Struthio camelus: one gene and its partners. The protein of the gene in region 1 purifies or fractionates together with the protein of each later gene. This does not show direct contact. Links are inferred from orthologs where the notes say so. Each region holds a gene or a part of one and is shown on either strand. Other genes may lie near its edges.

What was found.
Region 2: the proteins of NUP214 (region 1) and RAN purify together in Homo sapiens (affinity purification with mass spectrometry; 3 studies listed by BioGRID and IntAct, counting the BioPlex papers as one, with this or other methods). This does not show direct contact. The link is inferred for Struthio camelus from reciprocal best matches to the Homo sapiens genes NUP214 and RAN.
Region 3: the proteins of NUP214 (region 1) and XPO1 purify together in Homo sapiens (affinity purification with western blotting; 4 studies listed by BioGRID and IntAct, with this or other methods). This does not show direct contact. The link is inferred for Struthio camelus from reciprocal best matches to the Homo sapiens genes NUP214 and XPO1.
Region 4: the proteins of NUP214 (region 1) and NUP88 purify together in Homo sapiens (affinity purification with mass spectrometry; 6 studies listed by BioGRID and IntAct, counting the BioPlex papers as one, with this or other methods). This does not show direct contact. The link is inferred for Struthio camelus from reciprocal best matches to the Homo sapiens genes NUP214 and NUP88.

Annotation. Positions count from the first base shown.
Region 1 is NC_090961.1:6,136,841-6,144,244, reverse strand, and holds the start of NUP214 (nuclear pore complex protein Nup214), read left to right. Parts: upstream 1-4,386; 5' UTR 4,387-4,738; coding exon 4,739-4,780; intron 4,781-6,381; coding exon 6,382-6,577; intron 6,578-7,404. Other genes in the region: AIF1L (allograft inflammatory factor 1-like), read left to right, coding at 1,519-1,606. UniProt on the Homo sapiens protein: Part of the nuclear pore complex. Has a critical role in nucleocytoplasmic transport.
Region 2 is NC_090958.1:14,150,658-14,157,720, reverse strand, and holds the start of RAN (GTP-binding nuclear protein Ran), read left to right. Parts: upstream 1-4,053; 5' UTR 4,054-4,114; exon of another isoform or gene 4,115-4,411; intron 4,412-7,063. Other genes in the region: STX2 (syntaxin-2), read right to left, coding at 3,702-3,731. UniProt on the Homo sapiens protein: GTPase involved in nucleocytoplasmic transport, participating both to the import and the export from the nucleus of proteins and RNAs. Switches between a cytoplasmic GDP- and a nuclear GTP-bound state by nucleotide exchange and GTP hydrolysis.
Region 3 is NC_090944.1:131,247,976-131,255,710, reverse strand, and holds the start of XPO1 (exportin-1), read right to left. Parts: upstream 3,010-7,735; 5' UTR 2,858-3,009; intron 2,790-2,857; exon of another isoform or gene 2,142-2,789; 5' UTR 2,118-2,141; intron 1,446-2,117; exon of another isoform or gene 1,269-1,445; intron 1-1,268. UniProt on the Homo sapiens protein: Mediates the nuclear export of cellular proteins (cargos) bearing a leucine-rich nuclear export signal (NES) and of RNAs.
Region 4 is NC_090957.1:13,531,013-13,538,393, reverse strand, and holds the start of NUP88 (nuclear pore complex protein Nup88), read right to left. Parts: upstream 3,011-7,381; 5' UTR 2,989-3,010; coding exon 2,746-2,988; intron 1,828-2,745; coding exon 1,658-1,827; intron 1,170-1,657; coding exon 1,044-1,169; intron 830-1,043; coding exon 743-829; intron 152-742; coding exon 1-151. Other genes in the region: RPAIN (RPA-interacting protein), read left to right, coding at 3,191-3,268, 3,486-3,674, 4,267-4,330, 4,860-4,974, 5,548-5,611, 5,749-5,883, 6,465-6,494. UniProt on the Homo sapiens protein: Component of nuclear pore complex.

The DNA of each region.
Region 1 (7,404 bases):
CTGCCTGCTATGTGCTAGAGCAGGCTTCCTCCTACATGATCGGTGCAAGTGATTCTCCTCCTTTTCCTAGAGCATGCAGGCACTCAGCTTTGCAGGACCTCTTGCCTCTTCCCTGTGGCTCTTGCTGGCTTTGCACACAGGCTTTGCCTGTGAATGGTGTGAGGACTTGAGCAGTGAATGAGGGCCCAGCAGGGCTGGCTCCTATTTGCAATAGGATGCTCTGTCCTTGCCTGGTTTTGGAGAGCGAGGCAGTGTGAGAGTAGGTGGAGAGGGGACACATGCTTAAAACAGCTGGCTTGTGCTGGTAGAGGTTTTCTGTGGTTTTCAGCTGCCAGCGCTGGCCTCCCACGGCCTCCTCTGCCCTCTCAACGGGGCTCTGAGTCCTGCTGTAACAAATGGCTTCTGAACACTAGCTTGGCTGCTGCTAGCTGTGGGGTGGGCTCTCTTGGCTCCATATTCGCCTCATTGAAACCTGGCTTTGCCTTTTACAACCACAGAGCAGGCTGGCCCTGCTTTTGTGTCTTTAACTAATGAATAGGAGTTGCTCCCCTCCATCCCCCTTGGCCCTTTCTGAAGGCAGCTTTAGTAATGCAGCCAGCTTTCTGGGCAGGTTGGGAGGAAGGATCCTGTGCCCACCTGTCACATGTTCCCTCTGAGCTGGTAGACACTCGTTAGCCATGTGTCTCTCCTCTTCTGCACTGACTGCCCTGGGTCTGCGTGTTAAGGTGGTGTTCTCCCAGGCACAGACAGACTTCTGACACCCCTGCTTCCTTCTTTCTCTCCTGAAGCAGGCTGAGCCTTCAGCCTGTCCCATATCTTCCATCCTTCCTCTAAACTGCGGCAGCTTTCACAGGTGGATCCCTTTTGCTAACAAACAGGCACCCCATTGTCTGTTGGACTCTGAAGCAGGAGCAGAGATGTAAAACTTGTCCCAAGAGCAGTGAAATCTTTTGATCCAGCGTGGCAGCTGACATTCCCAGCATGGCTGCGGTCCTCAGGGAGGAAGACAGTGCTGGCAGTTGCAAAATGCTTAGGATTCCTTTGGCTACTCCCTTACTCCTTGTCTCTGCCCTCTTGCCTGGCTGCAGCTGCTTGCTTGATTCTTTTTTTTTTGTTTCTTTCAAATGTTGTGCAGTGTCATTATGTATGAGGTGGGCCAGGGATGGTATATGTTTTTATGCATCAGGAGTGCTTGGCATGCAGTGCATGCCCGGGGATTCGGAAATGGCTGTCTAAAGCAAACATGCTAATCCTCTGTGCTTTGGGAGGAAAACCAGCTGGGGCATTGGGAAACCCGCTCTTGGAGATTGCTGGAAAAGCAAAGCTGCCTGCTAAGCTGCCAGCACTGCCCTCTGTTGGCTTTCTGTCCTGTTAGTTGTGGGATGTCCTTTGCATAGGAAGCAAAGGCTCATTACATTCAGCAGACGAGATATACCCCTAATGATGGGTGAAGTATACCCCTAATGATGGGTGAAGATGGACTTGTTCTTTTCATCTATATTATCTGCTGTCTTGCAGGGTCATGATGTTTGAAGGAAAAGCCAATGAAAGCAACCCAAAACCTTCTGGCCCGCCTCCAGAGAGAGACATAGCCAGCCTCCCTTGAAGAGGACAGGCTGGAAAATTGGAACTGTTTGCTTTGCTGGTCTGTAACAGAGGTTACCTGTGCTTTGTTACTCTTTACTTTGGACGGTCTTAGTTTTCAACTAACCTGCCTTAGAGGAACAGCAAGGGAAGCTGGGGACCCCCCACCCAGCTCGCATCTTTCTGCTACATCCCTTAGCCAGCTTGATTTGTTAGAGAGAAGCTGTAGCACAAAGTATAATGTGAGACCAAAAAGAAAAAAATCCTGGGATCTTACTCTTTCCCTTGCCCTCTCTGCATTTCCTAGACGACAAGGAGCTACTTTCCTCCCAACTTGTGGATTCAGAGCTGTGCTTGTCTCTGCAGGTTCCTAAGGGGTCTCGTTGCCAGATGCTGAGTGCTTCTCTGGCAGCAGCTCTGGCCCCTGACAGCAGCTTCATGGGTGCAAAGAATTAAGTGCCTTCACTGCTCCATCCTGTGCTTCCTGACTTTGGACTAGTTCTTCCCCTCCTGATCTGGCCAAAACACAAGTCAGGCTCCCACCTTTGTGGCCTAGTCTCTTCCCAAATGAAGATGAGAAGGTGCATTGACACCAGAGGTCTACTTGAAGGCCTTTATGCTTGGAGTGGACATGGCTTCCTGCAGGGATGGGCTTCTCTCTGCTCCTTGAGTTCATCCTGCAGTCAGATCTTCACGAGTCTGAGCCAAGTGAGCTGTTAATGATCCTTTTCTAGTGCCCTTTAAGCAGATCTTAGTCCCAGGTCTCAATAGCCCCAGGAGTAAGACTCTGCTCAGCCAGCATGATGTGCCTGGGTCTTGCTCTCCTCTAAGACCTTTGCTTGCTGCTGAGGTTGGGATGGTCCTAAGGGAGTATTTCTTTAGCTGCTAAGTTCAGCAAGGACTTTCCTTTGGGCTTCACCTTGAACTTAAGTGCATATCATAAGTTTTTAAACTTGCAAAAATAACTGGCTGGAGTCCCTACCTCCCTGAAATCAGTAGGGCTAGCGTGCCCCTCTGTTCTGGAGGCCAGTTTACTGGGCCCTTCCACTACAGCTTGCCTGCTGAGAGGACATGATAAAATCTCAAACATAAGCTGTCAGCAGGAACATGGTCTGCAGATAAACCATGCAGGCAGCATCCTACTGGCTCCTACCAGAAGCGAGATTAGAAATAGGCAAGAACTGTCTCCAGATGACAGCTTTTGGCTCCTGGCTACAAGGCAAAGACAAAATTTTCCACAGGATGCTTCTAAACCAGAAGGCAGACTGGAGGGTGCCTCTGCAACCATGATGGATTAAAAACCCACCTGAGCCCTGAGGTCCTCAGAACCTAAAGGCATAAGTTCTACAGAACCTAAAAGAACAAGTTCTGCGAAGTCTGTCAGCTGAGGAAAAGCTATCAACCCACTGCTGCTTTTAATATCTTGGGTCTTCCTCCTCCCTTCCTAGTTTGCTAGGCTTTTCCTTGCCCTCCAAGACTTACTGGTTAGCCACAGGAAAAAAAGGCAAGCAGCAAGTGAAGTCACAGCCCTGATCTAAAAAAGGGAAGCTGCAAACCTATCCTGAAGAGGTGGAGAGTGCAACACCAGCCAGCTCAAGTGAGGCTGATTAAAGCTACTTTAGGGCCCCTCCCTGATAAATCCCTGCTTGGGTCAGATCTGGAGCATAATCTCTGAACAGGTGGCTGTCTGTCTTGTCCACAAAGTGCAGAAGCAGGCCTGCTGTTAGGCCTTTACAGCCCCTGAGGAAGGCTTAAGGGAAATTGAACCTGCAGGTTCAGGAAACTGCTGACTAAACTGTGAGCTCTGCAAGTCTTTCCAGACCATTGTGGATGAGGATCTATCTTCGTGCTGCTGCTCAGGCTTTCTGATTTTTGCAGATCTTTCTGCGTATGTTTCAGCTTTGTCTCATGGGACGATTGGGTGTGTTTTCCTGATGTAGAAAATCTCAAGCCTGCAAAATAGGAATGATTTACAAGCATGCAGTAGGATGCCAGGATCTAGAGGTAGCTGGGACTCTATCAACCTTCTGGATACTGTTGTGATTCTTGCTCTATGCACAATTTCTGGATTCCAGATATTTGCTTTCTTCTCCTCCCTCCCCTTACATGTTCTTGGCAGCTTTTAACTTTTTAAAAATCATTGTTTAATAAATTTTTTAAAAGGAAATACAGATGATTGTAACTCTATGCTAGACTTATTGTTCCTGCCAAAGGCTGCACTTTTAAATAAAAAACAAATTCTCACTGCTGTTTGCGTGAAAATGAAAACTGTAACGGAGAGATAAAAACAGTGAGGAAGAGCAGCACCAGTCTACTGAAAAGACCAAAAATAAATCTTCTGAAACTACACCCTGTGTCACCCTTATTTAGTTTGGCTTTTCTGAAGCTTGGACCAAACGACCAGTTGCAGATTAAACAAGCTCGTTTCCAAGTTGGTTAATATAAACCCTCCACTAGATCCTGGAGATAAGAGATCAGATCAAGGAGGCCCCAACCTAACAGCTGACCGAGCGCTGTGGAGCTCGTGTTACAGAGCGCAGAGGCCGCCTCCTGAAAGCCAGCCTTCTTCTGACTTCGTGGAAAGGAAACAGGTGGCTGCGCTTGTTTTAAGGAGTTTTGTTTACCAAAAGCACTCGCTTGCGACGCGGCTCCCTTTCCCTTGAAGGCTTTTTTTTTTTCCCGCCCTCTCGGTTCTTAAAGCAAGTGGGTGTCAGGGGCACGGAGAGGAGCTGCCCGGGGGGGTGACGGGGCAGGGCCCTTCTCCTGCGTCACCCTGGGGCCCGCGCCGCCTTCCTGACAGGCTCCGCGGCTGCGTCAGAAAATAAGGCGGCCGGGGCCTGGACGCGGTTCGCCACAGCTTCCGCGCAGCTGCGGAAAGCTCTGGAAACGCACCTGGGGCCCTTGGTTTTGGGGGCCTGGAAGGGGGAAGCGCTAAAGCGCCGGCGCGGCCCCCCCTTTCCTTCTCCTCCCCCCCCCCCCTCCGGCCGCGAGGCCCGCGGCCCTGGAGGACTCGCGCCGCCTCCCGCCGCGGACCATCGAGAGCGCTGGCTAGCGCGGCCCCGCCGGAAGCGGAAGTGAGGGCGCTGGCGGAGCGCGCGGGGGTTTCGCGGCTGTGCGCCGGGCGGCGGGGCCTGCGGGTCTCGGCGCTGTGGCCATGGGGGACGACATGGACGTGATCCCCGAGCGGGAGATGAAGGTGAGGGGTGGGGGGACGAGGGCAGGCCGGCCGTGAGAGGGGAAGTCGTCGGGCTCGGGGATGGATTTCGGTGCCGGGGGGGAGGGGGGGAGCGTGCCGGGGGGGGGGGCGGCGTGGGCTGACAGGGGGCAGGGACTTTGGAGGGAGCCTTCCAGGGTCTGTGGAGCACTTGAGGACCTTTTAGGAGACTCTGGGACAGGCTAGGTGGTGGAGGAAGGGTGGGCTGGCGTGTCCTGGCCTGGCCTGCGGTGGAGGGGGGGCTTGGTAAAGCTGCGAGGATGATAAAGGGCTTGGCTGTGGGCTCTGCTGTTTTTCATGGATCTTGGGCGAGCTGACATCTTTAAGAGAGGAAAAAGGGAGAGTTGGAGTTTATGTTGGGAGAGGACTGATGCTGTTGTCAGTCCTCCTGTCAGTATGCCTAGTGCTGGGGTTCCCCTGCCTTGAGAACAGTAGACTTGAGCACAGCCTTAACGTGGGGGGCTCCGCGTATGGCGAGTAAACTGGAGTCTTGTCCTGGACTAGCGCTTCCCTGTCTGTCCCAGAGTGTTACAGGGAGGAATGTGGTGAGACAGGGCTGTCTGTGCAGATGCTCCAAGCCCATGTGCATCTTTGTGCAGCTGCTTTCTGTTCAGGCACCTCCAAAAACCAGGGAGTCAGGCTGTTTTGCAGGAGGTTCTAAGTTTCTGCAGCCTCCTTCCCGTGCAGGAATGCACTTACTCAGTGCTTTGGAAAAAATGAAGTAGTGCTTTATTCAGTGATTGGCATTTTGGGAGGACAGGGTCAGGGTCATTTCTAAAGGGAGTCTAGCATTTCACCTGACAATAGCGTAACTTGTTTCTTAATGCAGTCGATTTGTGTTTCTGTAGCTTTATAACTTCTGCAGTTTATCTCTTGCTCTGCTCTTCCCACTTTTACAAATGACAATGCAAATTATGAGAGGAATGAGCACACAACATACATTTGATTATACAAAGTAATCCCTGGGGGACAGTGGAAGGAATAACCATGTCTGTTCTGTGTATGTTAAACTGCTACTACAGTAGTAAAAAAGATGCGTCTAGATAGATGCGTGCTTTGCAGCTTGGGTCTCTAAGAAAACGCATTTTATTTAGTCATGCGGTATGTTTCTCTATTTCGTTCCCTTCTCTTTTTCTTCTGTATCTATTAGCTAGTTTCAGGTACGTTTTGCAGAGGGCTAGGTGTCTTGAACGTACTAAACTCCTACAGGTTTTGTGAAAACAGGCTTATGGTAACCTATGGTAAAGCATTTTAAAGTCAGTCGTTTTGTCTTTGGAGTGTACGTAACTTCCACTAGTTTTTTGATGAAGTAAATAATGGGAATTGTAGGCGCTATGCGGATAAGATAAGATGCACCTTAAAAAGGTATGGAAACAAGCTGCTCTTTACATGAAGCGCAAGTGAGTGTATGAGATGGAAAATGTGATAGGATGGCCAGGGACAGTGTGGGTCTGGACTCTGCCTTAGGGGTGTTTTGCAGCTCTCAAGGAGAGGCCTTTCAACTTACCGTCCTAGAGAAACTGAAGTAAACTGATCCTCGTTACCAGCATACAAACAGCTATTTCCTGACTCTTTTACAACAGGATTTTCAGTTTAGAGCGCTGAAGAAGGTCCGGATCTTTGATGCTCCTGATGATCTTCCCAAAGAGCGGTCCAGTCTTCTTGCAGTGTCTAACAAATATGGGCTGGTCTTTGCTGGTGGGGGAACGAGTCTGCAGATCTTTCACACTAAAAATCTTCTCATGCAAAATCAGCTGGGAGAAGATCCCAATAAAATTGGTAAGGCATGTCTCCTGGTGTTTGTGCAGAGACAGCTTTATATAGGTTTTCATGGTATGGAGCTCTTGGCTTCTGACACAGTCCTTGTCACGCATTTAAAATTACTGGGTTTTATGGTATTAATCATGCAGGAAGAAAACTTGCTGCAACTCTAGCTGATGCAGAGTATAGTCGTTGGGAACACGCTGTCAGGATGCTCTATGCTAGCTCACGTTCAAATGTCATTCAGGTTTGGTTTCCTGTGTTCAGTGCCGTATGGTGAGATTGGCTTTTCGTATGTGAGAGTGTGCCTCTTTTCTTGCAGCCCCGCGTTCTTTTGGTAGCCAGATTTTGGGCTGTGAACTTGGATAAGTATTCAGGATGTGTGTGAGTGGAGTGGAGTAGAGTTCTTGCACCGAGTTATCCGCTTTGAATAAACAACCGTCTTGCAAGAGAGGAAGAAATCACTGTTCCACAAGCTCACAACCGAAGTGCAAAATTGTCTTCATTCTCACCTTTTCCTTAATAACTATATACTGTGTATGTATATATGTATTGGCTATACCAAAGTATCCACGTGCTCCCTTAAGTAAAACCTAAAACGCGTCTAGTTATTTTTCCTCCAGGTTAGTGAGGAAGGAAAATGGGATTTTCTTAAGAATTTCTCAGACTTAAGAATTTGAGAGCCTCTGGTGAAACAGTATTGATAGAGATGAAGGGTTGGCTTTCACAGAGGGAATTTCCATATGTCAATTTTGACAGCTGCTGTTTATAGGACTATCTGTTAGGTGTGTGTGTTTTTGGTTTGGGGGAGGGGATTTGCATAAACCATATTGTTTTAAAAGATC
Region 2 (7,063 bases), on another chromosome or scaffold:
CCAGTCTGTTCTACTTAAAATACTTTTTATTAGATAATTTCTGACTCCAGAGCTATTGATCTATATGTCACTGAATCCATGTTAATCTGTGTGCACTCCTGACCATGAGCACGTAGCTTTTCAATTTTTTCCTCACAGCATCAGTCTTTCAAGAAATTTTCTTTATCACAGGTAGTAAGCCTTTTCCCTTACTGAGGGCCAACCAGATCAGTCAGGCACCTTTAGCAGGTCAATCGCTAACATGCATGTTAGTAGCATTACTGCACAACATAGAAAAAGATCATATCGTGACCAACTATAGGAAACTACTTTATGCTGTTATGGCATGGAAAACTCATAGCTCATCGTTAGAAGAGTCTATGCTTAAACAAAGACTAATGTAAAAAATGAACTCAGAAGAAATAACTTGGCAACTTTTTTCCTCACTCTGAAAAAGTTCCTCTTCCAGTTTTTCCTTACTGCTACAATTCTACCGATTTTAAATTTTGTGACTTTGTGGTTCTTTACCCTACTCCTAAATAGAACTTTTGGGGCACTAAGTGAATGCACAAGAGGTTATTCACAAAAAATAAAAATAAAAATAAAAAAATCAGTGCAGTTCTGTTCAAGTTACTGTAAGCATTAAGTTTGCTTAAGCAGAAAAGGTTTATATCTTACATCTTTAAATGGCATAACAAAAAAAAAAATTTGAACTCTATTAGCAGATCTTTAAAAGGACATCTGTTTTTCTGTTTTTAATACCCAATGCTGGCTAGATGTGCTGAACCCACCATCAGAGCACAGACTGTATAACTCTTTAAAATATTAACATCATTTTAATGTGGTCGTGTAACCCCAAACTGCAAACCATTCAGGGCTAGGAGAATAGGCCAGGGAATCATTGCTACGTGCTTGCCCTGTTGTTCTTTTCTTCACTATGCATACGCCATTGAGCACTGTTGAAAACAACATGTTGAGTTAGGTAGAACTTTTTATTCTCATTTTAATCTTACACTCGTTTTGGCTAAAAATAACTAAATACCTCTGGAACTTGATGAATTGTCCAGTCAATCGCAGCAAAGGAATAAAAAAGAGAGCAGACAGAATAATTTGTAAACAAGATGTTGAAATCATCCCCCAGAAGTGAACAAATACACGTAAGGCTGTTATCTTCTGAGAAACGTATGTACATTGCAAGACTCTTCCTAGCTGACAAATAATAAGCAGCAACATTATCTGCATGTCCACAACAGTTTCTCTTTCCAGGAAGTATTTTAGCACTATTTAACTGTCTGATATAGTGTATGAACAAAAGTATCCACAAGTTGAGATAATTTCATCTGCCAATGGACCATGAACATTAATAACTAACATTGCTTGCTATCCTTTATAAAGAGAAATCTAAGAAAACAAAATCTTCCATTTTAAGTGACAAAATAATTTTCTTGCCTTCAATTACAATTCAGGAACATGGAAATGAGGACTTGTAAACTTAAATGTGTGTTTCTTCTTAAGGGAGCATTGCATTTATTTAAAGCAGGTCAGTGTGGACTGGTTAAAGTGCTACGATCTCTTAAACGATTTGTGTAGCATATCAAGTCTTTTAAGGAAACAAGATGGAGGTAGCTTTCATATAAGATATAATCAATTAAATACAAAATAACATTCTCACATTAAGGCAAAGACTTAGTAATTCCTGAAGATCATGAAGGCCCAGGCCTGTTTAAAAACTGCAACATACAACCACTACCCTTCACTTAATGATTTTGCCACATAAAATACAGTGCAACTTATACTAACTAGTCTGAAACAGTTTGGAAAATGGGCAAACAAATGTTAATGCAGTTTGTATGATTTCTAGAGGTGATTTATTCCTTTTCAAAGTAATTTTATCTATGTATTATCAAGGAAAGAATCACTGTTCAAAGTGTTTATGGTAGTAAAGGAAAATCTTTCACATCACCAAAATTTCATCTCTTTTGATGTTTCAGATAAAGAGGCAAGATCTTAGTCGCTACTTCTATGAATTCCCTGTGGATATCAAGTTTTACAAAGGCTATCTCCTCTGGTATGTATCTTCTCTAAACTTTTGACCAATAGCATGCTTTCAAGTGATAAAACATAGGTTGGATCTTTGATCTTTCTGCTTTCACTTGACATTGCCTTCACTTTGTTCTTGTTAGAAGAGAGTTCTCTGTCCTTTATTCGAATAGAGTCCTTATTTTAGATCCCTTTGCTATTTGTTAATTTTACAGGTTGTAAACCTCAGTTATACTCTTGAACGTATGAAGCACTTGACAAATATTGATCCCAGTGTTTGCAATTAAAGTAGCAGTTTGCAGCAATGATGCTTTTAGATGAAAAATATTAAAGGTGGCCTAGAAACCCCTACGTACAGAGTTACTTTAAAAGCGTCTAACAATATCTAAGTGAATTATTTTTATTTTTTAATCAAAGACAGACCACTGCTGCTTCCCTACAGTCAGGGCAGACTACATGTTTTAAGACTATAAATTAAAAAGCAAATTCAGATCACCGTTTGCTGCTTCCTTTTTCCTGGGAAGAATGCACCACCACTGAAATTTGGCACGTATTCCTACAACCTGGACAAACTTAGAAACAGGAAATAGGAGAAGAGAAATATACCTGAAAGAAAATACACTTTTCTTTGACAAGACTCTCCTCTATCTTCCCTGGTAAAGACACTGTAACCTAATCATGCAAAAACTTTTCAAATGCCAATTCACCCTTTTGGAGAGGAAGACAGACTGGTAATCCTACTGCATAAGAACAGAGCTTCTGAAATGTATTTTCTGAACCATAAGATGTGAATTTAAGACAAATAAGGCCCAAATCTGTACATAGCTCAGCAGAGGCCAACTACGTATATGTGGAGAGTCCTAAAAGTATTAGAGACTCCTGTGCGCGCTCCAATTTCATTTATCCTTGGAATAGAGTCAAATACTCTTTTATTTTGACCAAGCCATGTCCTGCTGAAAACAGACAACACAGTACCTCCCTCCAACTCTCCCTCTTTTCTTAAGGATACTGCTTTTGAAGCGTAAATAAGAGGAAGGAAAAGAACGAATAAACATTTCCAACTACCATTTTTAAAACACACGCAAAACAGGATCTGCAGATAGCTTTATTTGCTGATGAACGTATTACTGGTGAAACGGTTCCAAAGCAGATATTCTATTCCACTACACTGTGGACAGTTCAAAAACAAAATTGTTTTCCCCCGTTCATCCGTCATTCAGAATATTAATATTTAAAGTGTGCTGGAGGGAGGAAGAGGGAGAACTTAAGCTATAAAAACAAATCGCAGGAGCTTGAAGTTTGTTGTAAGAATCCCGACGCTTAGAAGCGTCTTCCCATCTCTGGGGAAGGAAGTTCTCCTCCTCCTCCTCCTCGAGGAGGGAGTGGGAAAACAGCGCGCGGCAGCTCGGAGACCTCCCTGCCCCCAGGGACCGGGCCGAGGCGTCGCCTCAGCGCATCCACCAACGGAACATCCACGTTCCCGCCGCCGACCGTTACCTCAGGCGGCGACCGCGGCGACCACCTCCCCCGCCCCTCACACCCCGCCGCCCCTCTCCTCGCCACCGGCTCCGCCGCCTGCCGCCCCCCCTTTCCCGGGGGCCGCCCCCCCTCCCCCCCCCGAACTAGCCTCTCGGCCGCCCCCGCTCGCCACCTGCCCTCCGGCCCCCCGCCGCAGCCCTCACCTCTGCCAGGTCCGCCAGCCGGTCCTTCATCCCCGCAGCAGCTCAGCGCCACCCCGAGGCTTCCCCGGCTGCTCCTCGCCCGCCGAAGAGAGCCGCCGGCGCTCGGCCCGCCGCCGCCGCCGCCACCCCCCCGACCCCTCCGCTCCCTCCTCGGCCGGGCTCAGCGGACCGGCCGGGCCGCGCCGCCTCCCCGCTCTCCTTCCGCGGTGCGAGGGGCAGCTGCCACCGCCCCGCCCCCTCCCAAAGTCACGGCAACGGCGGCCCGGCTCCGCGCATGCGCCTCGCGAGGAAGGGGGTGGTGGCCGCGATGCAAATTCCTGGGCGCGGCCGCGCGGAATGGCCGGGCGCGGCACCCGTCCGCCGGGGAGCTGACGTCACGGCAAGGCCCGAGGAGGGCGCGGGTAGCTGCGCCAGTATTTGCGAAGAGGCCGGTGGGAGCTGGGGGGAGGGAGGCGCGGCGGAGTCGCGCGTTGCCGCGGGCCTGTTCAAGACGGGCACTTCCAGAGGTAGACACGTGCGGAGTTAGAGAACTGACTCTTCTGAACGGTACCCACGAGGAAATTCCCAGCCCCAGCGAGCAGTGCTGCTAGGCGCGTAACAGCAGGATGTTATAATAGCACAAAACTTGGGGAGACTGTCATCAGCGAAACAAACTGTTAAAAGTTGCGATAGGGTTATTTTTCAGCTGTATTTTATTTAATTCTTCTCTGGTGAGTCACGTGGGTAGGCGGCAATCAGACTTCATGCAATGCATATTTAGTTCAGAAAGTGAACAGACTGTTTCCTCTCTTTTCTGACAGTTCAGCTCACCACAGGCCATAGATACTTCCTTTTGCTGTTCCGTAACATTAAACTACGGCTTGCTAGTCATTCTTAGAACATCAACGTAATGACAGGAAATTAAAGTTGCACACTTCATTTTGTGGAACAGAAGATGAGCTGAGGACTTTTTTTTTTTTTTAAACTCTTCAACTAATAAGCGCTGAGAAACATTGCCTTGTAGTGACTTTAAGGTCTCAGGTAAAACATCAAAAACAATGACCACAAAGTGTCACAGGAAGACAAATTAAAGACTTTGCCAAAGTCGTAAATCAGTGCAATAACAGATATGCTTTAAAGGCCTGAGAGATTCTAGGAAACATCGCAGACATACCATAGAATGCATAAAGTCCTCAGTGATCCTGAGTGATCCGTTTTACCTATCCATGTTGAAAATGACTAATTTCCTTTTTAAATTTCATGTGTCACCTGGAACACCAGTGTGCAGAGCTCTGTTTCTGTTTGAGCTAATATTCCAGACATTTCCACAATCAGTGCTTTGACTGTGAAACATACCAATATTCCTTTTAATTTCTTGCTGGTATGCACTGTTGTCATCTTCTAGAGTTTGCAAAATAGTTTGCTAACGTAGCAGTTGTGTTCAAAGATAACATGCTGTTTAGCTCTGTGACTGTGGTCATCTCCAGTACAAGCTTTTGTACCACTCTTTATTTGCATCTTCCCTGACTTCCTAAGTGCTGTCCTTTACTTTATCTGGGTCAGTGGCTCAGTTTGTTCACAGTTGAGCTGAGTCAAGGTACAGGAAATGTACAAGATCTTTTAAGGCTTATTATTCTGCTGATTACGTAGTGATATCTTAGGGACCCTAATGTCTTGGTTATCTAACGCTGCTGATTAGTCATTGGAAGTGTTTTGTGGCCTTTGCTGAATGGAGCTATCTGGAGTAGATGTTTTGTAGATCCTCTGAACTGAATACTTATTTGTATATATTTAAAACAGATGCTAACAAGTAGATCCTATATGGCAAACTTATCTCTGCAACAACTTGTAAATATTTGGCAGGAGCTCAAATCAAATGATTGGGGACTTTTTAATTAGCAAGTCACGTTTAATTGTTCCAAAGTAAAGTATCACACAGTATTATTGTTTTGTTTGAAGGAAAAAAAGATAGTTTACTAATTAGTTTGTTACAATACTTAGAAGCTTCTGTCGAAGAAATCCTCAATACTTCTGGGTTAGGTCAGAAGAGAAGCTTTTATTTACTATTAGTAGCTATAGGAGAGAGCACATGGTGGCAAAGGTGAAAATAAACCTCACCAATTTGGTCTCTACATAGCAAAGAGGAACAAGGCTTTTTATGTACTTTCTTAGTTATTCAAGAAGCTTCTTAACCAGTCAAAGGTCATAATCAAACACTTTTCCTTTTATGGAATGCTATAAATCCCTCGCGCCTCAAGGCTGGATGGATCTGGTTTTAACTGGTGACTGCTTCAGCTTGTCTATGAAGGAAAGTGCTAGCACAGTTAAGAAACATCCATGACAGGCCTCAACCAAGATTGCCTTTTAAATCCCTAAACAGTAAATAAAACCCTGAAATAGTCTGTATATTTACACAAACTACCACAGCTCCCCGCTTTGAGACTACCAGTCTCACACCCAGAGTATGGTAGAGGAGCCACAGATGCCCAGCTCAGGGCTTCTAAACAGATCCTCTCACTGCTCAGGCCATGCTGTCTCCTCATCCCCTCTTGCATCTAGGTTTCCTTATTCAGTTGAAATGAGCTTAAGTTTATCAATTTCTTCCTTCTTTCACTCACAAGCTTCCAGCATAGCAAGGCAAATTCCTCGTACATCTTGAGCCTTTTGCTGGCCTGATGAATATTTCCAATTTAAGCAACAGTTACAAAAATGTAACAGACAACACTTAAGAAGAAAACAGAGAAAGCATAATACTACTGTAACAATTATAAGGAATTCATATACAATCTTAGTTCCAGAGACCCAAACCAGTTCCATAAACTCCAGCTGTCTTCCTGATGCAGTTGTGTGGCCACTTTACAATATCTTTTATGTCAAGACATCATGTATCTTTTCATTATTGTCAGGGGTGTAAGTACAACATTCTCAGCTAGTGTTTTCTAGAGTGCTGGGCTGGTGCTCACTTGTTATAACTGTCCTACGTTCATAACAAAGGGAACAGTTTCTGTTGTATGAATTACCCAGACAATTCTGTTATATTTAATTTTCAAATAGGCCCAAGTGGGTTTCAAAGTTTTGCACGGGCGCCTAGCAAATCAACGTTAGGTATATTTGAAAGATTAACAGGAACTGGAATCACTGATATGCCCCTTCTTTGCACGAATTGGGAAGTGAGCGCAGTTCAAAGTATTTACACCTTGTGTATATTGGATTAATATATTTTAAAAGTATTAGTGCAACATGTAGTTAAATAAAGAACAACTAGTATTGCCCAAACTGTCTATCAGTTGAGCAACAACTGTCTCATGCAATTCAACATAAAGGTTTAAGGCTATAGTCAACTGAGATGCAAAGGGCAACTTATCCACTGGGTGGTCTGTGTT
Region 3 (7,735 bases), on another chromosome or scaffold:
ACGTTATGTATGGAAGCAAGACAAAAAAAAGGAATAAAGTTCTGCTAACTCAGAAAGACTCTTAAAAACTTCATCTTGTAAACGGGCAGTAAGCAGTACTACTGAAAAGAAAGCCAACCAATCAATATACTCTTCAGCTTAGAGCAGTTAATACTCCCACCAGACACACAGACTCCTAGGCATGTCCCTTTCTCCTCACATACCGTTTCCATGGCTCAACCGTGAGCTGGGAATGACGTTTTCAACTACAATAAACGTTTAAAATTAGATGTTCTTCAGGTAGCACCATTCATTCTGGATTTAAGCCCGTTTCAGTTGTTTTTATGCAGCGCTAAGGACGCAATCCAACAGCCGGGTGACTAAGAGAAGTTAGCAACCCCATGGAAGCCAAAAGGAAATGTTCTGAATAGGGTCCTTTGCCACTCCCAGCATTATCTTCAAAATGACCTACCTACTTGCAAACTGAAATACAGAAATGGTGGCTTTGTGGTCAATACCAGCTGCAATCAGCTCGATTTCCTACTCCTTATAGGGTACCCACATTAAGTTTATAACCTCTGATTTATTCTGCTCCTACACTTTTCCCATCACGCCTAAACCTGAACCGTTTTAACTGCCAGTTCCAGGCCCGGCTACAAATCAGTTCAACACTACTAGTAAGTGGGGCAACAAAAGCCAAACGAGAAGTTAAAAAAAAAAATTCTGAACACAGCAAGAATCTGACACCTATCGAAGGTCAGAAGAACTGCATTTACAGAATGCTGTTTACATAGTTATCCCAACTCTAAGTGACCCTGGACCTTAAGTTTAAGGCCACAATTATCTTATTATGGTCTACCTGAACCACTTGAGTATGTAGCACATCAGAATGAAAATACACATTTTAAAAAGGAAAAGGAAATACTTCGGAGTATTCACAACGGTCCCTAGAGCACATGCAACCATTTACAAAGTAAGGCAGCTAGAGAAAGCTGACTGGGGGCAGCAACTAATCAAAACAAAAACAGCAATAACAAAATCCACCACACGTGCACACACACACTAGGGAAGTCGCTCAGCTCCATCCTAAACACGTAATTCCATTGCTAAATGCAAGCGAATTACCACCCCGCTATCCTCTTCCATTCCAACGAGTTATTTGCATCACACTCGTCTATTTTTCCAGCTGCACAAGCAGAAACAGAGAGCACGCCACGAAGGCGTTTGCATTACACACAACACACCAGAAACCCTAATGAAACGATTGCTTCTCCCCCCCGCTACTTTACCGGCGCGGGCTCATGTGCAAGATTAAATCCACGCTGCCTGACAAAGCATCCGCCGGCGATCCCGGGGCATTCCTCCTTAGTACAGCTGCATCCCAACAGAGCGCCCCAAAATACCTCACGCCCGCCCGGCGCCGGGGCCTCCCGTGCCCAGCGCGGGGCCGGGCTCGGCGCCCCCGGGCCGCGGCGGGCGGGCCGGGGCCCTGCGGAGCGCGGCGGGGCCGCCGCAGCGCGGCCCCTCCCTCCCCCCTCCCTCCCTCCGCCCCAGCCCTGCGTTCTATACAGGGCCCCCACGTGATCCAGGCGGACGTTTCAATACTGCTGCACAGACACACAAAAAATATTTCTGGAAACTTCCACTCCTAATAATTTACAGATTATGTCCCTAGTTTTTCCCCGTGCCCGATCCCAATCCCCCTTCCCTCCCCCTCGGCCCCTCACACCGACTCGGAGGCCTCCCCCCCCACCCCCTCCCCGTCGGCAGCCGGGCCCGTGCGCCCCGGCGGCGGCTCCCGCACCCCCCGCCGCCGCTCTCCCCACGGCCCCAGCATCAGTGGTAGGCTCGGCTCCCTCTCCGGCTCCTCGGCAGGCACCGTAAGGCCTAGGATGCTTGTACCCCAGACCCGATTTATACCTCCCCCGCCCCCTCCGTTTCTGGTCAGGGCCCATTGCGCCTCTCTCTTGCCTCAGCCAAGACTTCGCGCCCTCCACGCACACCCGGCCGTAGCCCTCCCACTTCCCCCGCCTTTACGGCTCACGGCCCCACACCTTCCTCCTCCCGAGCTCTCTTCCCCCCCCCCCCCGCCCCACGCCTTACAACACCCCCGTCTCGCGCCCTTAGCAGTTACTTACCTAGGTGTTTCTTACAGCCTCTTCCTTCAAAAAGTAGGGGTGGGTGAGCGAAGTTTCTAACCACGCGCCGAAAAAAATGAAAATAATAAAAAAAAAAATCGAAAAATAAACCCCCCCCAAAAAAGCCCGAGGAGGGAAGCGGGGGGGTGGGTGGGGGAAGGAGGGAGAAATACACGCGCACCCTTCTCCCTGCGGAGTATTTATTATTAGCGTCACTCCTTTCCGCCCCACACTGCCCTCGAGCAAGCGTGTCCTGGCCTGACTACGCTGCGCGCTCAGCCCAAGGCTGCGGCCCCCGGGCCGGCGCCCCCGCTCCCCGCGGGGCTCCCTCCTGCCTCTCCGCCCCGCAGCAAGGCCGCCCGCCGCCGGGCGCGCAGCAAGCGGCGAGCGCTCCCCTCTCCTCTTTCCCGGGGGAGGGGTCCGCGCGGGGCTCCGGCTTCCCGAGGCCCCCCGGGGGACTCTCGCCTTCCTCGTGGCCCCGGCTGCCCGAGCTGCGGCTCGCCTGGGCCCTGGCTCTCTCCTCGTTAAGCCGCTGGCTCCCCAGGCCTCGGCCCGTGCGGCCGGCTCTCTCGCCTCCCCAGGCTCTCGCTACTCCCGCCGCTGCGGCCGCCCTCCCTCAGGCCTGGCCGCCGCTCAGTTCACCCCCATTCCCACCCCCCCCCCAAGCTCGCACTAAACTTTGCCCCCCCAGCTGTGTCGGCGGCTCCCCCTGCGGGCTCCCCTATGAGCAGGTCACACACACGGCGGCGGAGGCAGCGGTGGTAGCAGGGACTGAGCGCGGCGCGTCTCCCCCTCCTAAAGCCACAGACTCGGAACCGGCTCAAACCGGTTCAGACTGGGAGATTCCATCTCGGTTTAGTTTTCAGCCCATGGCGCCGCGGAGCGTTTGGAAACCTCAGGCCTCCGCCCAGCGGGCGTTCCCATTGGTCCCGGGCGCTGCCGCCGCGCAAGCGGCCTCCGCTCTCATTGGGCGGAGGGCCTGTCTATCCGCTGCGCGCCTCCGAGGGGTGGAGGGAGCGAGAAGCGGGCGGGGTGGGGGGGAAGATAGAGGGGATCCGCCCCCTCTCCAGCAGCGCTTTGCGCGCGGGAGGGGGGGGGCGGAGGCGGGCCGCTGCTCGCTGACAGGCCGAGCCGAGGTGTCACTCAGTCGCCGGCCCGCCTCGTAGTTCTTAAACCGCGGGCACAGGTGTTGCTGCGCTCCGATTGGCTGGTGGCTCGGTGTGACGTGCTGTTCTGAGGGCGGCTCTTAGGGCTGCGCTGGCGAAGGGTGCGCGCGCCGTGGGGGGAGGGGCGGCGCGGCGCGGCGTGTGGATGAGCGGCGGCGGTTGAGGGGGGCGGGCTCGCGCCGCTGGCGGGGAGCGCTCGTCCCTGAGGGAGAAGGGGCTCTCGGCCGGTTTGGGGGCGGCTCGAGCCGCCCGCCGGTGCCCCGTTAGCGCTGAGGCGTTGTTTCGGCGGGAGGGCAGGCTGGACCGAGAGGGCGCCGGTGACGAGGGGCCGGGTGGCGATGGCGGGCCTTGCCCCTCCGGGCGCCCTAGCTGGGGCCGGCTCAGCCAGGTGGATGCTGAGGCGTTGGGCCCTGCTGCGGTGTCCCTAGGCTGCGGGAGGCTAAAAGGCTATCCGGGTAGGCAGTGGAGGTTGAGGGCTGCTGTGTACCTCCCCGCGTTCCCTGCACCAAGGTCCGTGCAGCTCTGAAGCGCGGTCTCCCCCCCCTCCCCCACCCCGTTGTGCCTATATTTATAGGGTATCCGGCTTGCTGCAATAACTGTATCCCCCACAGTCTCTCAAAGATGCATCTCAGACTGTGGTTCAGGCAAGGCTGACTCACCTAGCAGTAAGAGAAACATAGCAGAAACGCTTGTCCACCAGAGCTGGTGAACAGGGATGACCTGAGGACCTAGGCTCAATTTTTAGGGGTGGCTCAAACTGAACAAGCTGGGGTCGTGAGTCTCATTGTCATGTGAAGGAGTGAAAGAATTTGCTTAGTAACTTTAACACGGAAAAACAGGGTCTTGTTAGACCTTCCATCTGTAACACAGTTATCTGCAGAAGTGCTCTATGAGAATTTACGTTCAGTACAGGTACTCAAGTTCTGTATAGCTAATTCAAAACCTAGCTCCTTGCTTGAAAAATGATGTGTATAGGAGACTTGTAAAAATCTCTGCCTCCTAAGAGGAGGAAAATACTGTGAAGTATTTCATTATCTTTCTAGTAACAAATACTGCAGTTGTCCAAACCTAGTTGGAGGTAAAGTTTTTTTTCTTTTGATTTTTTTGAAACAGCTATGCATTGCCAGTGAAACTCCTGTATAGAAGTGATGCCTTTTGTTTGTAGAATGCTCTGTCTTCGTTACAGTACCCAAAGGAAACTTGGGGTGTCCGTGGAGCTTGGAGATGTTGCGGAGCTAGACTATGGCCAAGAAGGGGAAAAAGCTTATGCTTGAGCCCTTTTGAACAGCTTTTTAAAAAAGTGAGTGCTTTTATGCATGTTCAGCATGAGGCTTTACAAAAGTCTATCCTCTAAGAAATGCTGACTTTTGCTAACAAAACCAGAGTCTTTTAGAGTTGCCTTTATTTCTCTCATGAACTGAAAGACTAAGTTTGCAGTTGTCTTTGAGAAACTAAACCGATATCTTCTGGTTCTGCTTCTTTTTTGCAAGATGGAAGTGCAGCAAATATCTGGGAATACTACAACGGGTCTTCTGAAAGGTAGATGTTTTCCTTGGTATTCCTGCAGAGTACACTAGAGTATTCAAGGGATTCTTCAGCTGAATATGTAGAGTTTAATTTGTAACATTAGTATTAACTTTGCTAGGCCAATTTCTTATGCTCTAAACTGTAGCAGGTTGCAAAAGGATTGGCATTAATAGACTAGCTTTACAAAAGTAAGCCCTTTGATTCTTGGCTGTTGCGTTATTAAAACAGAAATTATAAAAATGAACTGCAAAGTGAAGAGACATAGTAAGATCTGTGTTCCTTTATCAACATGTATTATTTCTATATCAATTATTGTTTTAAATCATCTGCCCGGGTAGTTGTGTTCACTTCTGGCATGTGAAATATAAGCCTCTCAACTAGTGTTTGTTTTTTATCTAAAGGCTCTAAGAAGCTTCTGGTAGAACCTCCTAGGATAAGTTCTCCACAGCTTTAGTAAAAACCTGTAGTAGAAATGAGCTGAGTGAGTACATGAAGAAGTATACAGCCATAGCGTGTATGGGATAATAATGGACGGGGTGATGACCTGTGAGACATCGTCTGCAAAAGTAAATGTCTAGAAAATGGCTATGGAATAGTTCTATAAGCTATGAATGTCAACATAAAATAAGATGTTTATTAAAATGAGTAGTTATTCAAGTTACCTGTGCATTCCTCAGTTTCTTTCTACTTTTTATTATGCTACAGCTTGTCTTTGTTGGTAAAAGCATTCAAAGATTTGTCTTCCGAAGTTGATGGATAATTACAGTACTGGCTTAATAAAGCTTTATTTCTGGAGTTTTTCTATGTGATTGTCCAAATTTTAACAGAGCAACCTTATCAGACAACTTATTCTCTACAGCTTATGTAATTTTTGATTGCGTTGTAGATGACAGCTTTGTATGTAATGTTTCCTGTGCTGACAATATGTTAAAGCCTACCCTTAAATAAAACTTCATGCTGCTTCAAAGACTGTTCAGTTAGCGTCTACAAAAGTTTAAGGAGTTGGTCGGTTTAAGTAGGAGGTAGCTCTTTCAACCAAGAGCCCATTCATAGACTACTTTTATTAATTTTTATATATATTTTCAGGATGGGAGCTTATTCTCTTGTATTGAATGTCTAGTCTGAGCTGAACTACTAGCTCCACAATGCTATGTGAAATTATGAAACTGCAGCGTCTATGAAGTAGTTCATAATGCCACTTAAGAATAATACCTTCTCAGGAAGTTACTTGTTCCCTATCACGTTTATTTCTTTAGCTGAGACTGCTTTTGAGACCACAGCCCCAAAAAGGAATACATTTCACACGATTAATACCAAATCCTGACCGATGATGTGATGTATTTCCAAGTTGAACAGGCACTTCTTCATTAGTGGAGAATCACCAAAAAGAAAAATTGTCTAAACTAAGCCAATAAATCAATGTTCAACCTAGAAATGCCGAACTTAATTAATGCCAAGATTAATTTTTTGTAGTAATCCCAAAGGAAAATTTCTAGTAGTGTGCAAGTCAATAAATAAACTTCAGTAAATAGACTATAGCTACACCTATTTCTACTGTACTCGTAACTATGATTCTCAATAGCCTTACAAGTTCTAGGCAGGCTGTGGATATTCCTGTCCCTCAGCCTTCACTTTGTGTTTTGTTGTGTTTTTAAAAATATATATATATATATATATATAAAAATATATATGTTTGTGTGTACACGTGTATATATATATATATACACACACATATACATGTAAAAAAAATTATGTGAAGGCTAGGGAACTAATGCTTGTATCCAAATAAACATTATTTATGTTTCAGGCAGAAGCTGAGGAGATTCAAGGCCATGTGATACCAGATTAGGTCCTGTGTGACGTGTTACTAGGGGAAATAGCTGAGCCACCAGAAAAGTCACAGGTCAGTTTGGCAGCGGGGAGAGCATACTGAAAGTGATGTAGTATCTGAGCTTGCCTTGGCTGAATCGGATGTTTGCAGAAGCTTTCTGGCCCATGTTTAGATGATGTCTTTAGACATCTAGACTTTGGATGTACTTAATAAGTTCACAAACTCTGAATTCAGAGTTTGTGAGAAAGACAAGACTACAAGGCCACCCAAAGTAGAAACTGCAACTCTGAGACCCTCTTTTTTTTTCTCCTTGTGAAGAATAATTGTCTTTTAAAAAATAATAATAATAATAGCAGAGAACTTTACTGTTTTTTCTGTACTTAATTTGTAAGTCAAGTCTCTTGGAAAAAATTTTTGAAGCAGTTAAGATTTGGAAGGGCGGGAATGTGAATGCAGTATATCTAACTTTTTTATCATGCATCAAAATAATTCTGTCCTGTAACATCTCAGTCATGATGATAATAAATACATAATGCTTTGTTTACTTCATGTTGTTTATCTTACTTGAAACTCTGTGGATTGACTTGTATAGGAATTACCAAATTTGTCGTTTTTGCTGTGTGAATTATGGTTGACAATAAAGTTGTAGTTGATAGGGACTGAAATAGAAAGCGATTCAAATAAACACAGAATGGGTGGGTGCAGCAGGTTTTCAGATGCGTTAAAAGCATGCATGTGTTTGTAACACTTGGAAAAAACAGTTTCTCCATATATGTTTTGATGTTCCAGTTAGTTCTGGTGTTCAAAACAAACTGATGTAAGAGACTAACAAGTCACAGATATTTTTAACTTCTTTGGCTTACGAAGAAGTTTCATTTGCTCTGTTTTCTTCTTCTTTTTTTTTTTTTTTTGTTTGGATTTTTTGGGCCAGAGAGAAGAGTTAAAATCCTTATTGACTATTTCAGTTGAAATTAGATATTTTAAACAGAAGATTAGATGCAGCTCTTCACCTGCATCAGCTACTAGTAATGCCCTAGAATGAAGTGCATTTAGAAAACTGTAAAAAATAAGCACGACAGAGCTTATAGCCTTGC
Region 4 (7,381 bases), on another chromosome or scaffold:
GAATGTCTCCCCATTTTCATATAAAATGTACAGAGGATAGGCCAACACTTCTTCGCTCCCTCGCTGTCCAACTATGTTCTTTGGGAGTGGCACCAGTGGGCCAAAGTCAAACGCCACTGCAGTTTCTCCAAGCGATGCTGTGTAGGCCCTCCTGGGACAAGTCGAAACAAAACCTGAAGTCAGCAATGACTGGGAGAACACAGGTTATTTATCTAGGTCCATCAGTATGTGCTGTCAGACAAACTACTGCTAAACAGCTGACAATCAGTTCTTTGATGTCCTATGTTCAGCAGCAAAAGCCTGCAGGTAACATCTTTCTTCCTGTGCCGCATTTCTGAAATACGCTCACCAGCCAGTCCAACTTCTCAGGATACAAGGGGACGTACCGGTATTTCCTGTGTAATATATCAGTCTATGGCTTGACTAGCCAAGATCCTCGAGTTTCTCCTTTTCAGTTAGGCCAAGGAGAAAAGAGAAGGACAATTATTTTCTGCATTCCTCTCTCAGAAAGCCCTTTTTAACCACATGTTAAGGATGATGTGTAATGTGTATTTTTCAAATGCCAGCAAACACTAGACTGTACAGCTTGTTCCTCCTTTTTTTTTTTTTTTTAAATAAACGTGGGGTAAAAAAAGGTGCAGCTAGCGCACCAATAAGACATGAGAAGATTTTCTAGTGGATTTACCACTCATTCAATTAAAAACACATTTGATACATTTCAAAAACAAGAAGCCACACAAACCCTTTATTTATTATTAAAGTCTCCTCTTCAGCGTCTGAGAGAGCAATCACTTTGATGGGTGTCTGAGGCACCTTTAGACTGTAAATCCTGGAGAAAAGAGATAGGAACAATGTTAATTCAGTTGTCAGCGTTGCACGCGTCCCTGCTGATACAGAAACATCAGTAGTTATCAGCCTAAAATTTTTCCCAGTCTACGTTTTTTTGGTAAACCCGGTGAGAATGGTGATGCAAAAAGATCCAGTGAAAAATCAGACTGGCTACTACAAAAAAAAGTTGATGATCAGTTATAAACAGGTTTTACCTTATGGTGTTATCTGAAGTCAACAGCACAATATGGGGCTCTAATGTCTCACAGGGATACCAGGCAGCATGCTTTAAAGTCAGAGATGTTGAACTTGTGAAGAACCTTTCCGCAATAGGAATAGTACTGTAATACAGAGCAGAAGCGTGCAATGTTACCAAAAAACAACAGCGAAAGAACCACACATCCCTCCCAAAAACAAAAACAGAATGAGTTACTACTTCCAGGGGAAAGTAGGGGCAAGAAGAAGGGGAAACCCATTTAAAATGTTTCAAAGGCATTGGCTGTATAATTCTTAAGGCTGAAGGGACAGCTTTAATATGTAGCCCTTTGCCATTTCCACCTGAAAACGTGCTTTTACCTGCCAATGCTAAAAGATCCAAATGGTTAGTGAAAAATACAGAAGAATACCTTGTTCCTCTGCAATTGCAACAAGCTTTGTTGCAACAAGCAACAACCAAACAGCAAACCCCGAGCCAAAATAACCGCGTTTGTGATTGTCTCTACAACCCTGATACAACCAATGCCTTTCCTATCTAGCCAGACGAGAACAGAGGCTCTCATGGAACAAACAGCAAGACAGGATATCATGAACCACCTCAGGTCTTACCCACCTGCAGTTGACTGTTGATTTCCCACCTTCAAATTCAGAATTCTTCCCCCAGCGTTTAGGCAGTTCCAGTACCATGAGCCCTTTAGTACCAATGAGCGCCACATGATGCTGCGTGGGGCTTAACAGTGTTTGATAGACCTCAAAAAGGGGGGGATTTATGCAGAGAAGAGTCTGAAAATAAAAGTGTTACAGTTAAACGCAAGCCATCAGAAACGCTCATGGAAGTACAGCGTTCAGGATTTAGTATCCAGTTTGCACGGCGATTTATGCACAGGCCATGGGGTGATAAATAAAGCTTGTTTCAAGCCACACCATCATACAAAAAATCCATCCGTTTCCCTGAGCGAGGGCCCCACGTTGAGAAGTACTTCTGCAGCCACACGTCACTTAACTCCTCCAGCCCAGCCGCGACGGACACAGCGGCTGCACGGCCACGGGGAAGCCGCCACCACGCCGACCCACGCGTGCTCCTCGGCTGATGGTTTTACCCCCAGTCCTGCACGCGGCAGCGGCTCGGTGACAGGGGGCAAGTGCGAGCCGGGAGGGCGGCAAGCGGGGCCAGGGGGCCCCCCCGCCCAGGCGGCAACAGGGCCCTCGGCCGCCCCTCGCCGCTGAGCCCGGCCCCGGCCCCGCAGCCCGGCCCTGCCGCTGCCCAGCGCACGCCGGCCCCACGGGGCCCTGCTCGCTGCCCCACGGCCCCTCCCGGTACCCATCGCCGTCCCCATCTCCTCCCTCGGTCCCGGCCTCTCCCGGTAACGATCCCCCACGTCCCGGTGACGATCCCGTCCCCATCTCCGGCCTCTCCCGGTAACGATCTCCATCCTCCCCCCGGTCCCGGTCCAGCCCCTCCCGGTAACGACCCCCCCGGCCCCGGCCGGTAAGGACCCCACGTTCCCCCGATCCATGTCGTCCCTACCCGCCAACCGCCCCAGCCCCCCCCGCCCCATAACGGTCCCCCACTCCTCCCCCCCCAGCTAACGGCCCCAGACGCCCCTCACCCGATAACGGTCCCCCCTCCCCCCCGCTAACGGCCCCAGATCCCCCCCCCCATAACGGTTCCCCTCCCCCCCCGCTAACGGCTCTCCCCACCTGGTAGCGGCCCAGCCCCGCGGGCTCGGGGCCGCCGAGGCGGCGGAGGCCGATGGTGTGCAGGGCGCTGCTCTCGCCGTCCCAGAGGAAGAGGTCGCCGTCGAGGCCGAAGAGCAGGTTGCGGATGAGCGGCGGCCGCGGGGCGGCGGCGGCGGCGGCGCTGCGCTCGCGGAGGCGGCAGAGCACCGCGTGCTGCGGCAGCGCCGCGCGCCACTGCTCCGCCGGGCCCCACTCGGCCGCCATCGCGCCGCGCCGCGCCGCCTCCTCCCCCGCCCGCCCGCCCCGCCCTCGCAGCCAATCAGCGGCTCCCATCGGCTCGCGTCGGCCCGGACTGCATCTCCCAGCGTGCCCCGGGGCGGGGTGACGGCGGCTCCCGGCATGCCCGCGGCGCGGCGGCGGGCGAGGCGGGGCGGGGTGGCGGGGGTGGCGGCGGCGGCGGGCGGCCATGGAGGCGCCGCTGCGGCGGCACCGCGCCCTGTACAAGGGGCCGGCGGCGCCGCCCTGGAAGGAGACCTACCGCCGGGTGAGCGGGGCCGCCGCGCCGGGGGAGAGGGGGAGCCGTCTGGCGGCCTCCGGGCGCGCAGCGAGGCGCTGCGGGAGCGGGCGGCGTGGGCTGGGCCTGGGCGCCGTTACCGGGCGGGCGCCGACTGCCGCTACAGCCGCTCCGCTCCGCCAGTGCTGTAGCAGCCCCCCCCCCCCCCCCCCCGCGCGTCACTGACGGGCCCGTGTTGTCTCCGCAGCGCTGCGTGGAGAGGCTGCGCAACAGCCGGGCGAAGCTGCTGGACCGGTACCGGCAGGCCGGGCAGCGCGTCGGCGCCTCGGCCCTGGGCGCGCAGCTGGTGCAGGAGGTGATGGAGCAGGAGTGGCAGGCCCTGCGCTCCGCGCCCGGCAGCCTGCCCTCCCTGCGCGGCGAGCAGCCCTTGGCACAGGTCGGTACTGCCGCCGCCTTCGGGCTCCTCGCCTCGGGATGTCGCCCGTCGGAGGTGGGCACATCGGGTGCACCGCTCTGCCGCTGTAGCTGCTTTCTTCCCCGGTGAGCTCCAGCCTCCTCTGCTTGGAGTTGGCCCAGCTCAGACCTTCTGGGTTTCGAGCTTCGGCAGCTAGTGCGGGATGTCGTGAAACAGCTGTGAGAGCGGTGGCCTTCGGGCCCAGGAGCGGGGAACTTCCTTATTTCCAGCACAAGCTGGGCATGAATCGCAGCAGAGGGGGGATTTCCACAGCTGTGGTTTTCAGAGCGCTCGTGTCACTGACTGCTTTCACTTCCAAGAAATGGTAAAAAGACTCTAACGTTTTAAAAGGCAGATTCTTGGGCAGCCTGTGATCCCATCCCTTATGAATATTTTTGCACAGATTAGTATCGTGTATGTTGCTTTCTACAGTGCATGTTTTTGCAAATGCAGAGATGTGACAGATAGACAAGTAAGGAGTGAACTTACATTACACTGACAGCTTAGTCAGGCGCTGGAAAATAAGGGAGAATGTAGGCAGAATGGGAGAATTACTGACTGATGCACCTTTCAGATGCTAGAGGATCCTGACGAACTAGCAGTGCTGGAAGAAATCCAACATGAATTGGTGTTGCAAGGTAATTTCTCAAAACGCTTTTTCAGACTTCAGTTTAAATCGTAATATTTCTGACTTTCTAGTAATCCAAACGGGGGTGAGACTGAACTCCTTAGTTCTTGTAGACCATGGGAGTTTCAAGAAGAGCCTCTTTGGAAGTATCTGTGGCCTCTCTAGGGCACTGAGCCCTTTGTGACAGTTGTAAGTTTGAATGGCGCTTTAGGGTCTGTGAGAAGCTAATAGAGTCAGGAGACAGCACTGTGACGTTTGGGAGCTGTAGGAGCATGTATAAATCAATGCAAAGTATTTCTAGGTTGCTGGTTGAAGTGTGTTATATTTGCACAGTTGAGACCGCCTAAGGATTGAGCCATAGGAAAAACTAGATTAACAGGAATCATTCCTCCAAGTGTAGAAATGCGATCCAAAGATAAGATAGACACGTTCAGAAGTAGTGGCTGTCACAGACTGTCCACCAAGCAACTTCATGCATGTTTCTGTAGCATCTTGAGCTCATAACAGATGCCCGAGGGTGTTCTGTTCCTTGATTGCAGAACAGTTGCTTATAGAAGAATATGAGCGAAGTCTTCAGTTTGATGAAGAATGTCTCAATGCGATGCTTGATGGCTTGGATGCCGGTGACAAGATCATCTGCCCCGTGTGTAGAAAGTAAGAACGCTCTTGGCGCTGGAACGAGATGCGTGACAGAAGCCTCCCAGGGCTTCTCTACTCCGTAGTCTTGCAGGTCTGAGCAGCACTCAAAAGCTGTGCTACTCTAGATATTGTTCTCTTAATGAACGCTGGCTTCTTTCCTGTTGTTCTGTGCAAGATATTTGGGTCTTTTCGTGCAGCCGCCTCTGTCTAGAGCACTCTGAAGGGAGTTACAACAAGATCATTGTGTAAGTTAAGGCTGAATTTCAGCTGCAAGGTGATAGCACAGAATTTCTCTTCTGTGCCATTCATGGAACAAAGTATTCTGTGAGGAACCTTGGTGCTGCAATCAACCTAGCCATAATTAGCACAAAGAGGGATTGATTCTCCACCCTCCTCCCGCACATAAAAAGTTTGGGCTTAGAAACAGGCGCTAACAAAAGCAACAGGCAAACACAGGCTCCTGTTTGTGGGTATTTCAACAAAATAGAAAACTGAGCAACGAGCTCCAAAAATCTAACAACTCTTGCTAAGGTCTGCCTTTGTTCTAGTTGTTGTTGTGAAGATGCTCAGTGTCTGCTGTCTTCTTAGGAATAACCTGACCGTGCGGAATCACTTGGTTTTTTGCCAGTGTGGATTATACATCAGTACACAGGTAAGCTATGTTGTGGATGAAGTGTAATTAACATCCTCTGTCTATTGCGAGGTCAGCCTCCTTCTGAACAAGAGGAGGCAGTTTTAAGCTACGGAGCAACTTAAGTCTAAGATTTCTTTTAACCCAATTTATCTCAGGATATGACAGAAGAGAAGCTCCGGTCAGTTCTAGAAAACACTATAACAGAGCACAGTCACAGGTGCTTTCACAATCCAGAGTTTACTGTTACCAGCGGAATGGAGGAAGAAACCAGTCTTCTCATGAGCTGTTCGGTGAGTCTAAATGTCAAGTTTCTGGAAAGGCTCTTGGGTCAGACCAACTTCTGTACTACCTATTTAGCTACACACAGAAAGCAGCAGTCCATTGACCTCAGTGGTTTGGGTTGCTGTTTCTCTCAGACTCTCTTGACTACCTGCAACCATGAAAGGAAGGGCAGTAGCATTACACAATTTACAAAATACACCTTAACTGCTGGATTAGGGAGTCTTTTGAGGACCTATCAAATTAGCTGACTTCCTTTCTCACACCTTAGCAAACAACTTTGCCTTGTGTAGAGCATCTATTTTGAGAAGTGTTTCCTGAAGAAAAGCTGTAAAAGTTATTTCAGTTTAGGCCTCCTCGAACAGCTCAGGCCTCTTAGAGAACCCACATACCGTAACTTCGGCTCAAGCTAGAGCTAGCAGGAAGGACTTAAACTTGCTGCTTAAGTAGAACTGCTGGGCACTGATATGTGTACCTATCTGACTACAGTTTTAGGAACAGAGCATTTCAGTTTTGTATATTAATAGAGTTATATATAAAATGTATGAGTAGAGTTTGTCTGTTTGTTTAACTTCCCTTACTTCTTGTAAAGGTCTGTGACTCCTGGATGATTCTCCTGTAACTTGATTTCGCTGCTGTTTTTTCACTGGAAGAACTTCTTGAGTTTAAAAATCTGCCCAGAGCTGCTACTATTATGTATATACTTGTAACTGTTGTGTCAAAAACATATTTGACAAGGCAGTAGTATTGCCTTAACTTGCACTTTTGATGACACAGTAAATATTTTGAAATAAATAGACCTAGTTTATTTCAGCTTCCATGTTTTTTTATTATTATAATCAGTGCATCAGTGATATCACAGCTTGCACTGGCTTTCGCTTTTGTTTTCTTTTCACTGACAGCATCTGTGCTTTGTTATATCCTTTTCTTCTGTTGTAGAGAACAGAGGAGTCCCTGTAGGCTTAACTACACAAAGCACCAAAACCTAGTTCCTTTTCAGTATAGGATCCTCCTAAAGGAATGGGACTGCTCTGGTACAAAAGCTTTGCTTTTGTGTGAGGCGTCCCCCTATTTGAGCATGGGTCCGATTAATTAGTAAACAAATATTGTTTTAATACACCTGGGTTAACAATGCATAGACGGGCAGAAGGACAGCAAAGAGAAACGTAAGTTGAATGTATTTCTCGTGAGACAAAGACGACTCTCAAAACACTATAGTGTTGGCTGGCTAGCGGGTGGGAACAGCAGGTGCTTGGATTTGGATTCCTGACAGCCAAGGCTTCAGGAGGATGGAGAGAATCCTGTTCCTCCCATGGTCAATGTGGTCAGCTCTGGTCAGCCTCTGCAAACAGTCATGAGACACATTTCTCGTTGAGTCATAAAGGAAAATTATGTTAAACTGAAACCACAGTAAAGCAGCTTAATTCTCTACCTCAGTACACGTACTTCCCTGAGCACCCTGCACAACAGCAAAGCTCATCATTGCTAACTGAATTGCACAATTCCAGA